Linked DNA regions of Alligator mississippiensis. The protein of the gene in region 2 purifies or fractionates together with the protein of the main gene of each other region. This does not show direct contact. Links are inferred from orthologs where the notes say so. Each region holds a gene or a part of one and is shown on either strand. Other genes may lie near its edges.

Region 1 (6,982 bases), on a different chromosome or scaffold from region 2:
CATTCTTTTCTCCCCCCACACCTTTCTCTGCCAACTACCATCACCAGCTTTCTATAAAATTAGTCCTATAGCCTAGGCATTGTCTTTGATTCCTTTTATCTAATAAGTCTAGGTTTCCTCCAAATCTGAAGGCTTGTTCCTCCAGAATGTTTCTAAATCTAACCTTTTCCTCATGTCAGGATGGCAAGGATTCCTACCTATACTCCCAATGTCTATACCTTCTCAGTCTGTACAAGACTAAAACTATACTGTTCTGATCTCTCCTGCTACCCTCATATCAATTTTTAAAAAAGTTACAGGCTTAATTCTCAAGGCCCTTCCTAATTCTGTGGCTCTTAATTTCTTTGAGTTTTAGTATTGTCTTAAACTCCCTTTCTTTGGCCAATTAAAGTGGCCTTAACTACCAACTTGCCCATTCTTCCCACAAAGCTCTTTACGTTTTCTTCCATGGTGGCTCTCATATACAAAGCCTTTTCCTCCGAACTGACCCATAAGATTGTTGTTACTCCATTTTTAAATCGCCTTCTCAACTGTTACTGCTAGGCTGGGCAGCAGTTAGAAAAAGGCAAAAGCAATTTCATTATAAAACATAAAAAATAGTAAAGCTATACACATGAAAAATATGCATCACCTTCCTCTTCCCTACTCTTCATCATCTGTCTTATCATCCCAGTCTCTACCCCAAATCGCGTGCAAACCATCTTTATTTGCTACTGTCTGGCACCGTGAAACCCCAGTTTTCACTGGGGTCTCCAAGTGCTTGTGAAATTTGAACAAAATGTTATACTGTGTTGGAATCCGTCCCTCTGACAGACCACCTCCACGTGACGCTAGCCAACAGCAAGGGTGTCAGGGGTAGAATCCTATCAGTTAGATTGGACACTATTTGCACATATATGAGGGTTTTCTGGTCTTTCAAATGCAACCCTCTGTTGACCCCAAGACATTGTGAACAGACAGCTTGCAAACGCAAACTGACAAACCCTGTTGGAAACTTTTCTAACTTAAAAAAAAAAAAAAAAGTTTCACCATTGCAAAATTGCTCCAAGCAGTGAAGACAACAGGGCTCATAACAATTTTGTATTCTTTATCTACATTAGCATTTTCACCGCGGTTATTACGAGAAGCAATGACAATGGCAGCCTTATCTGCACAGGGCTTGGGGGGAAAGTTGGCATATGACGGGAGATGAGAGCATCTAGGAAGCGAGTACGAGGTGAGATCATTTTATTCTGCTGACTGGTTCTTATTTGTTGCTGCTAAGGTTTTTTGTTTTAAAATGGACTTGAGATTTACTTTTTTTTTTTTTTTTTTTTAAGTTATAGTTAGGCGTCATGGTAGCTTCCAAAATCTTCTATCCAAACTACAGCTATGTTCTTAATTGTTGTCACAGCAGCTAGAATTTAGGACAGGATAAGATAAATACCCCCCAATGCAAATATTTTTAGAAAGTGCCAAAGCAAAGTTCACTTTCTTAAACACTGAAAGTGTACACCAATGTTCACATCTCATTTATGGAGTGGCTCTTGGAGGCAGCTTCAATCTTAGTGGTATTTACACAGCAATGTTCAGTAGTGCAAAACAGAGATTGTTTAAAATTGTGGGAAAACAAACTGCAAATTCAGTCATAGGAAATGTGATGTAAGCGGTCAATCATAACAAAAGATGGTCTGCGTTTACTATAATTCAGCTCAAATCTCTCAAAACCAAAACAGAATTTAACAACAAAAGGCATATTAGCTACAGTTCTTTGAAGCAGATCAGCCAACAAGCAAATTTCCAAGGAAGTCAGAAGTGAAACGTTTACTAATGTTTCTGAAGTGAAAACTCTCTCTCGAAGCAATTCTTTTGCAGACAAAATACTGCACGTGTTGACTCACCAACTAGAGATTTCTGTTAATAAAAACAAAGAGGTGGCTGACCAGGTCGGATATTTCCTCAATGTATTTTAAAGACTGCTACCGAGAAACAGGACACAGAAGCAATCCTAGCCCTTACATCCGTCGGCTCTCTACAAAATGATTTTCACTATGAAAGTAAGTTCATGCCGGCACGAAGCAAAAATGAAGAGACAAGCCATCTGACGCAGCATTCACCGGAACGGGCAAAACAAGTAACTTCTGGTCCCATTTACTGTCGCTGCCGTGTTCGGAGGGGGATTGCGGGTGCATTACACACCAATCCCTTGGCTCCTTCTCGATCGGTAAAAAAAAATCTACACTGCTGTGTCAGAGACAGGTATGTGAGCGAACCTATATCGATGTTAGGGCCGGGAGGGACCTCGGCCGATCGAGTCCAGCCCCAGTTGAGAACCGCGCCGGCGCCCAGCAAGCGACACGCGCTCGCTTCGCAAGGGAAGAAATGAGTAACCCGTCTCCACAAAATACTTTTTTTTTTTTTTAAAAAGAAATCCATTCGTTAGTTCTCCGGGGCAAGCAAGGTGTGTCCCGAGACCAACCAAACCCACGGGAAGAATGGGGGGTTTTGCCCAGAGGCGCGTGCGGCGCGTGGCAGTCCCGCCACCGACTCGTTATTAAACCCGCCACCTTTCACACGCCCGGCAGAGAAGCGCGGGCGCCCACGTCCCGGGCACGGCGCCCCCGGGCAGGGCGATGCTCCAGGAGGCACCTGTTGCCTTGCCAAGCCGGGAGCCTCGCCCCGCGCGGATCGCTGCCTCGCGTGGAGGAGCCGGCGCGCCCCCCAGCCACGCACCCTCGCCGGCGTGGGCAGGGAAAGCAAAGGACGTGGACCCCCCCCCCCCGGACACTGCCCCCGAGGAAGTTCACTCCGCAGCACGGCCCCCCTCAGGAGCCGCCCGCGGGGAGGTTGCGGCCTGCGGCGATGCGGACGGGTAGACCCCCCAGGCCCGGCCTGCTCAAGGGGGTGGTGGTGGGGGGGGGGGGAATAACGGTCAGCCCCGCTGCCGCTACCTGTCAGCCGGATCTTGATGCTGGAGCCGCTCCGACGCGTCCCCGGGGTCGACATCGCAGCCCCGCGGCCGCCGCCCCCATCCGGGCCCAGCCCAGCCGCCGCCGCCGCCGCTCGACGCCGGCCCGGCCCGGCCCAGGACAGCGCGCTCGCCCCGCCCCCAGGCCGCGCACGTCATGACGCCGGCGCGCCACCATGTTGGTGAGGTCCGCGCGCGCGGGGGGCGGTGCCACACCCTAGGGGCGGGGCCGCCAGCGGAAGGCGCCGGCGGGAAGACAGCTGCGCCCCCTGAAGAAAGCCCTTGGCTCCCACGCGGGGCGGCCGCGCCTGCAGGAGGCTGCAGCCGCTAGGTGTGTCTGCACACCGTCCAGGGCTGGTCTGGAGGCTGCAGGCATTAGATGCGATCCCCAGGAGACAAATGATAGGGCGTGCATGAAAATGCATACCTGTGGTTGAATCTGATGTATGCAGCGGTCCAGGTTTTAACACACGACCGTCGTGTGCACACACCTTCTGGATGTAAAATCTATACAGGCAGTCCCTGGTCTTATGACACACCTGGCTACTGAAAACAGCATCTTAAGTCCAAACGGTGCAACTCGGAACTGATTTTCTCATAAGAAACAATGTTATAAATGGGGGATTGGTTCCCGAATCAAGGCCCGGTACCTTATTTTCACCAAAAACATCCCAGCCTTTTGTACTCAATCAATTATAGATGAGTACTATAGCTACATTAATGTATTTCTACTGTAAATAGCAATCACATTGATTTGGAAGGACTTCTCTGAGGCGAGTCTGTTGGACTTTTTGAAGGGCTCTCGGCTGGAGTCTTCTCGGGAGTCTCGGCTGCCTTTTTAAAGGAAGTGCCCTAGGAAGCTGGGACAGGTGTTCTCCAAGGAGATGGGCGATGCAGCAAACTTCTTCGCTGGTGCGGCATCACATCTGATCAAGCGCTGTGAAGTCAAAACTGAGGTCAGAAAGTTGAAACGGTGTCAATTTATAAACGTCGTAAGTGCAAAATGTTGCAACTCGAAACCTTGTACATTGAGGACTACCTGTATACGAGGTTGAATCTGAGGTACGCAGCAGTCCAGTAGATTTTAAAGTCCGACAGTCGTGTGAATTCACCTTCCCCATGTAAAGTCTGTGCCCTGCCATCCATAATTATTATATGCAAGCAGGTGGGCACATTTGCGTTGCGTGTCACGGGCGTGCTGGCACTCCAGAAACCTCCCAGAATAGATTCAAACCGATTCGGCAAGTCTACTCTCGCATCGTTCCCAAACCATCTGGGCTACATCACTCCCCAAAATATCTGTTATGCTTAGGTACTGGGGCTGGACGTGCAGGTCGGTGCCTCGCCTCCCTTATGAATCTCTGCACGCCATCGGCCTCGTTAGGGTCCAGGGCTTCCTAATATCAGACCCCATATAAATGGCAGATCCAATAGCATCACCCTTTGCTGAGGAAGATGGGACAGGGCCTTTCCAAAGAGCCCTGTGTCCTACCTCAGGCTCCCACCCAGATAATTACAGTATAGTCAGCATAATATAAATACTAGTTCACCCCCCAAGAGGTAGGCAAGGTTTCTTGAGTAGATATGATATCTTCTATTAGACCAACTGAGTACACAGCTGTGATATCTTCTATTAGGTCTAATAAAAGATATCCCATTACTCAAAAAACCTTGCCTCTCTCTTGAGGGGGGAATTATTACTTGTATAATATATACACATCTACTAAAAAAAAAAACCAACCCTTGCCTGCCTATGTCCTTAGCCCAATGTGGCTACAACCAAAAACCCCACCCTCAAGAAGTGGTTTTAGTCTCATCCCACCTCCATGCCATCACTTGATTCAATGTTAGACTCACTGGGCCAGGCTCATTTTGATGCTCCCAGTCGCACTGAGACTGAAACGCCTGGCTATTTAGGTACATACTGCGAGCAGATGAGGGGCTACATGAGAGTAGCTCAGCCCGACAGACTCTGTAAATACTATTAAATCACAAATGGTAGCATCGCAAATGTTAGCATTTCTTTTCTGCAGGCAAGGAGATGACCTAGTTCCCCAACCTGGCTGATTTATTGAACTGGAAGCAGGGTAATGTACGCTTGGGTTGTGCTTTGCTCCTAACTCTATTTAAGCTGAGATCATCATCTGTGCTTGGTAGATGGAAGTGGCATGGCTCACCCCTCACATAAGTTAAGACAGCACACTTTCTAAGCTCCCCCTCTTTTGGAGCAAAAAGTAAATCAAGGCAAGCAGAAATGCATGTGAAGGTGTCTGAACCACAGGGACAGCCAAGTGGCCAGGCACAATTGTTTCAAGTTTTCCTCTTGTAAGTATATTCAGACTGGATTTCAAAGCAGCCAGTCTTGCACGTGGAAGAGAATCTATGGATTTTAAACCACAGATTTTATTGAACTTTGCCTATTCTTTCATGCATGGTATGAAATGTCACTATCTAGCCCTTCAATCCACAGCTGATAACCCTGTGTGTAGTGCTTTCCACAGTCTGGAAAAGCATTTGTTAATTAATTCATACCTCAACTGGGAACCAGGCAGCCTGACATTTTCACTCCAAGGGTTCTATCACTTTAAGCATATTCAGGAATGAGAAGCAAGGCAAGGATATTTATGACTAACCCCAAACTCTTGCTGTTTGATTTCCAGAACATATGTTATGCTGGTTTCTAATGCCTTGTCTCCCAATAGCAGATTTTCCTCACTGCTTATTTTCATCTGTGGATTGTCACTTGGAGGTACAATAGCTGTAGATGTTACAATCTGTTTGCTGAGCCAACTCTGTGAATCTCTCTCTATATATAGGATGTCATTCAGGCAGAACAGGGAGGAAAATACGCTGCGATTTCCAGGGAGACTACTGGCTGCAGTGAAAGGAAGACTCCATAAATTTATAGTTACCTTGGACTGTAAAGTTAGATAACAGGTTCAGGTGCAATAGGCAAAGTAAAGCACACTGCTTGGCTTTTATTCATTCAAATCCTTCCTTTTTAAGATTTATCTTTCAGACTTTCTAGTATTGCTGTGGTTTCTTGTTTCATTGATCATGTATATCTGATAAAGCAGTGCATGAAGTCTGGATCTTCTCTCTAATACTTCAAGCATCTGAACTCCACTCTAGGGCTTAACTTATCCTCTGAAAAATGTTTAATATAAGTCACACTTGCACACAGCTGAAAACCAGCCAGGCAAGCAAATTACAATAAAAGGGTGTAGTTCAGGTGGCAGAGTAATTCATTTGGGATTGGAAAGGAAGAGTTGGAGGAGAGGTCCCCTTACCCACTGAATTGTCATTTATAGTAAGGGAAGATAACCCTGAATGGGTACATCACTGTACCTGCCTGCACTGGCAAATTACAGGCAGAAGCCTTCTGGTGATCATTTACTAACTCCTGTCATTTGAAAGGGTTGGAACAAATGAATGCGTACTTCCATTAGGGAAATGGAGTGAAAAAAAATCTAGCTCATTTAGGGAAGAGCACATGAATTTCCTCTTTCAACCGAGTTCGACTTGGTGCAGCTGGAGTTTAACTGGCTGTAGTAAAGGTGGAAATACCTACCTACAACATGACTGTAAGCAGAGATGGATGAATAAGAGGGCAGTGCCAGATGCCTGTAGGCATAGCAGGCTATCTAGTCTTGGGAGACACTGGGCAGCCATCCATGGAATAGGCCATCTGAATGAGGCAGCATTTGGTATATGGCCAACTGCATTCCTTGCTAAACTGAAGTCCAGTGATGGGAGCCTGGGTTACCTTGCACATCTTAAGTCTCCAATGACAGTCTTGGTAGAAGTGCTAACCCAGACCAGTTCCAGGTCATCTAGAATTGCTGCCACCGCCAGAGCTATTCTACGTAGTGGCGGGAGCGCCAGACAGACAATCTGTGCTAACACTTCTGCTGCCACCAGACCACCGGTGGGAGATTATAGAACAGCACAGCCCCACCAAGCGCCTTGCAGTAATCTAATATCAAGGCAGAGTTGCACTGCAATCTGCTCCTTACCTCCATATCCATTTACACC
Region 2 (7,409 bases):
ACAGGAGAAACCTGAAGATTTTGCTGTGTTGCAAAGAGCTCCCTGCAGGCTGGCAAGTTTTCAGCCTGCAAGGGACTGGGGGGAGCGGGAGGAGGGTGGCCAGGCAGGGTATCCATGTGCATACATATACGTATGGCCATGAGGCAGCCTGGAGAACAGCTCCCACAGGTAAGTGGGGGGGAGGAAGCATTGATGGTCCCAAATGGAAGAAGGGAGGGAGTTAAGCAAGGCAGGGGCTGCTGCCCAGCTAGGCAGCACCTGGGGCTTGGGGCCTGGAGCTGTAATGCACGGCCACAGAGCCCTGGCAGGGAGCGGAATAGGGCCGCGGGCAGCTCACCCAGCAGGCAGCTTCCTGCTGCTGTATGCACTCCCGGGGGGTAGGGGGACCCATGCCCACCAGATCTGTCTGGGGGGGGGGGGTGGTCCCTGCTCCTCACTGCAGTGTGCCGTCCTGGAGAGCAGGAGGGACCTGTGCCCCCTAGAACTATGTGGAGGGTGGGGGCTGCATGCTGCCTGCTGCGGGTTTCCGCACCTATGACCTCTCCTGGGGCTTCTGCAACCTGGTGCTGCAAAGAACAGCAAGCCTGCACAGGAAAGCTGCTTGTGGTTACGAGCTCTGCACTGCCCTGGCAACGCGGTCCCCTGTACACGTGGATGCAGCGGGGGTGGCGGCGTGGGGTTGCGCACAGAGGATGCATTGCCAGGGCAGTACAGCACTCGCAGTGGCAAGCAGCTTTCCTGAGTGGCCTTGCTGTTCTTTGCAGTGCCAGGTCGCATGTGCCAGGCTGCAGATGTCCCAGGGGAGGGGAGCAGGATGGGTGCCCATAGCATGCAGCCCTGGCCCCATGGGTCCCCCCCTGCCTCTCCAGAGTGCACACTGTGGCAGGGATCTGCCCCCCCTGCACAAATCTGAAGCAAGCAGGCAGCAGGTGTGCACCAGGCTCCGCTCCACTGCAACAACTACTACCTGCTGCAAGGGGCAGAGGGCTGTGGACCCGAGTCCCTGGCTCCATAGCTCTGGCAGCTGGGGGCCCGCCTCCAGCAGAGCTGGGGGAGCAGGAGCTGGGGGTGGGGGGCACCAGCAGGGCCAGGGAGGATGGGGATGGGCTTTCTTTTTAATAATGGATGGGGGGGGTGAGGGGGTTATTGGAGAATTTATGATTTTTTTGTCAGGGAAAACCAGGATCCCTGATTATCACAAAGGGCATCCAATGACAGACACTGAATGTTAAGACAAAATTATTATTTTGTTTTACATAAATGTAGGACAACCTGTGCCAGGGCTGTCCAACTTCTAGGTCCCCGGGGGCCAGACCAGGTATATTATGCAGAAGTTCCCGCCCCCTTCAACTACTGAGCCACGTGGGTGCAACCTGCTTCCCACGTCAACATGCACATCCCCCTCCTCTTCCTTCTGCACCACTCAAGTGCAATCCCCAACTCTTCCCTCCCTCCCCTGAACCCTGAGCTGACCCTCAGCTCCCCACACTGCCATACCCCTAGGATGAAGGCAGGAGGCAGCAGCCAGAAGGGGGAGAGAGCAGGGAAGAGCCAGAGCAACCTGGCAAACAGGGAGCCCAAGGGTGGGAGCCTGAGGACTATGTATCTACTCTTCAGAGGCTGCATGTGGCCCTTGGGCTGTCATACAAGCAGACTGGCAATTCAGTTAACAGTTCAGCGTAGCGTAGGATTTTTATAAGGGCTGGTACCAGGTTGAATCTGCTTATGATAAGGTATCAGTCCTAACTTATCATAAGCAGATTCAACCTGGTACCAGCACTTTTCAGAAAAATATCTGTAAAAATGCTTTCAAGGAGCACTATATCTTTTCAAATGTGCAGCACACAAAGATGTTATGGAAGCCAGTCCCACTATAACCCATTCCTCCCAGTCCCACTATACCTCATCACACCCCAGCTCTTACAAAATCTGCCTGGTTCAGCAAAAGAAATGTTAGACATGATTTTCCTAAGCATTACCCCACCAGCGTAAGATTTTCTCCATACCACGCAAGTCAGAAGGATACTGTGCTCCGAAGGTTAAGCTACTCAAAACCTGTAGCAAGCCTGAGACAGTGAGCAGCAACCAGGTATTTCACTCCACTCTTACTTCATTGTTTGTCATCCCCGCCCCCCCCTTTAAAAAAATACCTGCTTCATCTCGTCAAAACAACTTTAGTTATGAGAACAAGACAGCTTCAGACAGGATCTAGTTATGTCATTTATTGCTGCACAAGCTTCAGCGTAAAGTGAGACTCTGGCTCAGTGAGGAAACCGTAAGGTTTACCAGATGAAAACACAGACTGCGAGGGAGGCCTCCGGCTCGCACAAAGCGCTCGAGACACACATACACAAAAAACCAAAAGAAGGAAGTCATGAAGTTTCCCCAGGTTAAAGAGAGAGCAAGAACAAGAGCTAGAGCTACGAAGTTACTTTCTACCCCCAGGGGAACTCCAGGGCAGAGAGACGAGCGGCGCGCGGGGCCCGGAACGAGTGCCCGGGCTCGGCGGGCTGCATTTGGCTCCGCTCCGCGGACAGCCCCGCACTCGGAGCACAACGGCCGCGGCTGCGCGCCCCCACCCCGGCCGGCCCTTGGCCCCTGCCACAGCTCCTGCCTGCCCCGGCCCGGCCCGATCCCGCACGGAGGCGCCGGCGCTGCGGTTGCGGACACTAGCGGAGCCCCACCGGCCCCGCCCCCGCAGGACCCGCCCCCCGGCCCGGCCCGGCCCAGCCCGCACCGGCCCGGCCAACAATGGGACGAGGCCGCGGGCTCTGGCCAGCATAGACCTCCCCCGCGGCCAGCGCCCGGCCCGGCCCCCGCGCCATGTTGGTGAAAGGAGCCGCCGGACCCAAGGCGCCGCCCCCCCGCTCCAGCCCTGGCCGCAGCACTCACCCGCTGCCCCCGGGAGCAGCAGCAGGGCGGCCGCCAGCCACAGGCGGGCCCGGGGCCACCCGGGAGCCGCTCGCGCCATCGTCCCGCAACAGCCCAGCCGGGGCCCACCCCGCGCGACCGGCCGCCGCCTGGAGGCCCCCGCGCGCCCGCCTAACTGAGACACACAGCCTCGCGCCGCCGGGCCCGGCCCCCCCCGGGCAACTGAAGCGGAGGCCGCTCCTGATTGGCGGCCACCGCCCCCGGCCCCGCCCCCAACGGCAGCTGCAGACATTCCGAGCAACAACAAGGGGCGCGAGCCTACAACCGGCCCGGCGCGCGGCCAGCGGGGCGGGGCCCGAACCTGAGTGGCAGGCGAGGCCCCGCCCTCGGGAGGCCGCCAGGGCCCGGCGGGCGGGGGCGGGGCGGGGCGGGGCTCCTGCCTGTCTGGGGGCGCCCGGCGGGGAGAGCACTGGAGTACCGCCTGCGGCCGCGCCGCTATATCACGGCAGCGGGGCCCGTGGGCGGAGGCTCCCCGGGCGGTGACTGAGCCGGGCGGCTGCGGTTCAGCAGAGCAACCTGGAACTGACGCTGGGGACCCCCTGTGGAGAGCTGCTGGGGTTGTCGGCGGCCGCAGGGCTGCTCTGCAGTCAGTGCCGGCGGGACCGCTAGGAGTCGGCCCTTGCCGAGGGGGTGAGGGCCGCTGCGCTGAGCTGGGTCCCCGGGAGGGTTGCGGGGTGGAGACCCTGCCTTGAAGCCGGCGCTTCCTTTCCTTGCTTGTTCCTCCCAGTCCAAAACCCACTCGCCCACACCGACCATTTGCTCTGCAGCTGGCTGAGCTGGGGCAAAACCCACAACCACTCCAGCGGGCTAACTTTGCCCAAGCACTTCTAGATCTCCGATTCCTTCCACCATTCAGCCAGCATATGGTGTCCCCCGACAAAGCATGGCGTAGCACCCAGGAAGTCTAGCAGCACAGTGCCAGCCAGTCTGGGCATTGCAGCTCTACTCCTACATAACCACATGTCCCTCTGTCTGGGGTGAGCTAGGGGGTCTCCTTGAAAACAAGTTGTACATACACTACAAAAGCTATTTCTCAGTTCTGCGTATGTGTGCAGTCATTTTTATAAGAAACCCTACCTTTCGGACAAACGCAAATGGTTATGAATCAGGAACGCTTCTAAACAGTTCACAAGCGTGCAAAATTAATATTTACTCCTTCGTTCTCCTTTCCGTTTTCTCCTAGCAACTGTCACCGCACTACAGAAACACACCCAAGTTGCATTTTTCCTTGCTGAGCAAAATAATGCTGTAATCTTAGTATCATAAGAACAGGGTTATGTATCTTTGTGATCTGACACAAATTGTAACTCTGTTACATACACACAGGAATTGCTCCTGTCACACTAGCAGATTCAACATTACTAGGCAAACATATGTTTAGTCACTCAAACTAATGAGAAAGATTAACAGGGAAGGAAACTAATGAAAAGGAAACATTACTAACAAATGCTGGGGCATAGTTAAGGTTGTTCAAATCTTGTGTTTTTGCTAGGGCTGTCCGGGGGGGGGGGGGGGGGGGGGGGGGGGGGGGGAAATCAGGGTGACTGCCCTGGGTCACATGCTTTGCGGGGCCCAGCAGAGCAGTGACTCCACGCTGCCACTGTCCCCCACACACCCCCTGCCACCACCAAATCCGCTGCCGAATCTGGCATGTCTGGCTGCTTAGGACCCTCCTCCCCCCAACCGAATCTGCCACCAGCTTTCTTGCATCTGGAGGGAGGGCCCTGCACCCTGCTCTGGTCATCTCTGCTTTTTGCTTTAATTACAGTTAGAATTTAATCAGGAGTTTATTTTGTTATGAAGCTTAGGTTCAAAAGCCATTATTCTTCATATTTCAACATTCATCTCTTCTTCATGGGTCTTCTGGAGGTATGTCAAGCCCAAAATAAGACAAGGCAAATAAGTGTTGAAATTATTTTCTATTCTCTCCCTTCCACTAGAGTGCTTGAGGGCTTCCATGACTGAATCCACTCTTCCCCTATGTCCCCTGCAGATGGCTCCTAACCCACTTCCCAGACTGCAGAAGTCTTTGACACTGCTTTTTGGCTGGCAGCCAACAATAAAATTAAACCATAAATTAGCAGAAAATATGATGAGCTTCCAAATGGCAGCATAGGAGTAAATGTTACCTGTAAATTAACTGATAGGTTCAACCAATCATCCCTCCCTGAAACACGGACCAAGGAAAAAGACTGCTAGGGGGAAAGTAGCTACAGCCACCATATCTACAGTCCTGACCCTTAGATACCCAAGACCTCAAATGGATTGCAGACCACACCCTGGGGTCAAAGCAAGCAGCAAGAGGCAGTGCAAAGTTGAAAGGGGTAAAATGGGTAGGAGGAGTAACCACAGAGGTACTATATAACAGACTATTTAAGCTCTAAACTGCCTGTCCTGGTGCTACAATCTCACGTCTGTTGTTTCAAACCTCTGAACTTTTAACTGCTTTAAAAATCATTATCTGTTATTACTGAGGTTAGAGAAGGAACAGATTCTGACACTGGAGATCTTGACCTTCAGTGAGTAGTAATGGATACCTCAACATTACAGCTTGTTCTCACTGGACGGATTTTAGGACCATTGCTATGCAATTCAGGTAGTTCATACTCCATTACTGCAACACACAATAGCCGTATATAGCTGCATTATCTTCCATCTACCTTGATTCAGGACTAAAACATCTTACCTTCTTCCATATTTTTTATTACATCACATTTCCCAGTTATGCCTCTCATTCAACTTCCAGTGCTGAAATTCTAATATTATAAAAGCCTTAGCCTGTCTGTCTGTCTGTCTGTCGTGCTTTATTTGCATTCCGATTGACTGTTTTGGGGGGAGGGGCACTGGGTCCTGCCCAGCCCGGCCCAGCCCCGAAACGGTGGCAGGGAGGGGGGGAAGGGGGCTGGATGTAGGCCTCCATTCAAATAACAGCTTTCCCTGTGTGTGTAGGGAACTATACCTTTAAAGGTTTTTTCCAAGAGCCATTTGAAACCATTTTTTTTGTTTTGTGTTGGCTCTGATCAGTGAGAACTGAGGCACACTTCTGTCAGGCTCTTGGCTCTGAGTGATTACAGAACATCTTATGCTACCAGGACTAAGACAAGCTAAAATACCGCGAATGATATATTGGAGCTGTTAAAAGTCCCAGAGTAGAAGCTCTGAAAATAAATATGAGAGAAGGAAAGAAAGGTGAAAGTATAGTTTGAATGATCTTGCACTGAAGAACTTTGCAAAAGGTTACATGCCTGAGAAGACACTAGATTGTCCCAAATCCCAATGACAAAAATACCATGAATGGCTACTGGAAAACCCAGAATTAACAAATAGAATTTGCCAGTCAAAAGGAATTCACCCAGTTCAGACTGAAACATAGGAAGGACGTACTCAGAGGCTAGGGGCAGAAATTACAAATAAACAAGTATAAGTGATCAGAAAAAGGATCAAATCTGTAACAACAGAAGTTCAGTATGCATTAACCACTTTCAAAATGGCTGAAACCAGTTTAAGATAAACTTGGATGGATGTAGTATGATTTAACTGAATTAAATCATCAGTTTAGTATGACTTAACTCATTTAGGTTAAATTGTTTTATTGAACTTCTGTCCCAAATCCTCTCCAAATTCAAGTTAAATCAGAGTTCCCCAGCTCCCCGGGATGCTTTTCACCTCCCCTACAAACCCCCGCTTGCAGGGAAGGCAAGCTAACCTTGGCCTAAGCTGTCTCTTCCAGCAGAGCAAGGAGGCATGCTTTAGGGCCAGTGGCCCAGGCCCTCTGGCTTCTGGCCTGGGCCACTGCAGGCATGTGGCTGCATTTCCAGAATCAAAAGTGAACATTTGTTCGCTTGCTTATCAGTTCAATCTACACAGATTAGACTAGCCTGTGAAGATTGAATCAATTCAGCCACTGGCCTTTTGACTGTCTGTGATTAGCCAGAGCCAACTAAAACAACTGAGGAAAGTTTATGAACATCTTCCAGAACATATGGAGGCTCTCAGCATGCAAAATAAAGCAGGAAGTGCCCACCCAACTTCACAGTTTACATCCATAAGAATGATACCTTTTCTCTAAGGCTGAGAATTGGTGAGTATTTATTCACCAAGGTGCCCCCGGGGGTTACAAGAAACAATGGCCACAAGCTAGCGGAGAGCAGATTTAGATTGGACATTAGGAGGAACTTCTTCACAGTTCAAGAGGCCAAGGTCTGGAACGGGCTCCCAAGGGAGGTGGTGCTCTCCCCTACCCTGGGGGTTTTCAAGAGGAGGTTAGATGAGTATCTAGCTGGGGTCATCTAGACCCAGCGCTCTTTCCTGCTTATGTAGGGGGTCGGACTCGATGATCTATTGAGGTCCCTTCCGACCCTAACATCTATGAATCTATGAATCTATGAGACTAACAGGCCATCTCTATACCATCACAGTAGCATGTCCTGGCCAAGCCATTCCCAAGCATGCCCCACCTGCCTACAGTCACTGCCATG

Evidence for each region. The genes of interacting proteins can lie anywhere in the genome.
Region 1: the proteins of TGFBR1 (region 2) and SMURF1 purify together in Homo sapiens (affinity purification with western blotting; 3 studies listed by BioGRID). This does not show direct contact. The link is inferred for Alligator mississippiensis from reciprocal best matches to the Homo sapiens genes TGFBR1 and SMURF1.

What each region holds. Positions count from the first base shown.
Region 1 is NC_081836.1:53,528,972-53,535,953, forward strand, and holds the start of SMURF1 (E3 ubiquitin-protein ligase SMURF1), read right to left. Parts: upstream 3,055-6,982; 5' UTR 2,986-3,054; coding exon 2,931-2,985; intron 1-2,930. UniProt on the Homo sapiens protein: E3 ubiquitin-protein ligase that acts as a negative regulator of BMP signaling pathway. Mediates ubiquitination and degradation of SMAD1 and SMAD5, 2 receptor-regulated SMADs specific for the BMP pathway.
Region 2 is NC_081828.1:81,069,706-81,077,114, reverse strand, and holds the start of TGFBR1 (TGF-beta receptor type-1), read right to left. Parts: upstream 3,068-7,409; 5' UTR 2,972-3,067; coding exon 2,893-2,971; intron 1-2,892. UniProt on the Homo sapiens protein: Transmembrane serine/threonine kinase forming with the TGF-beta type II serine/threonine kinase receptor, TGFBR2, the non-promiscuous receptor for the TGF-beta cytokines TGFB1, TGFB2 and TGFB3.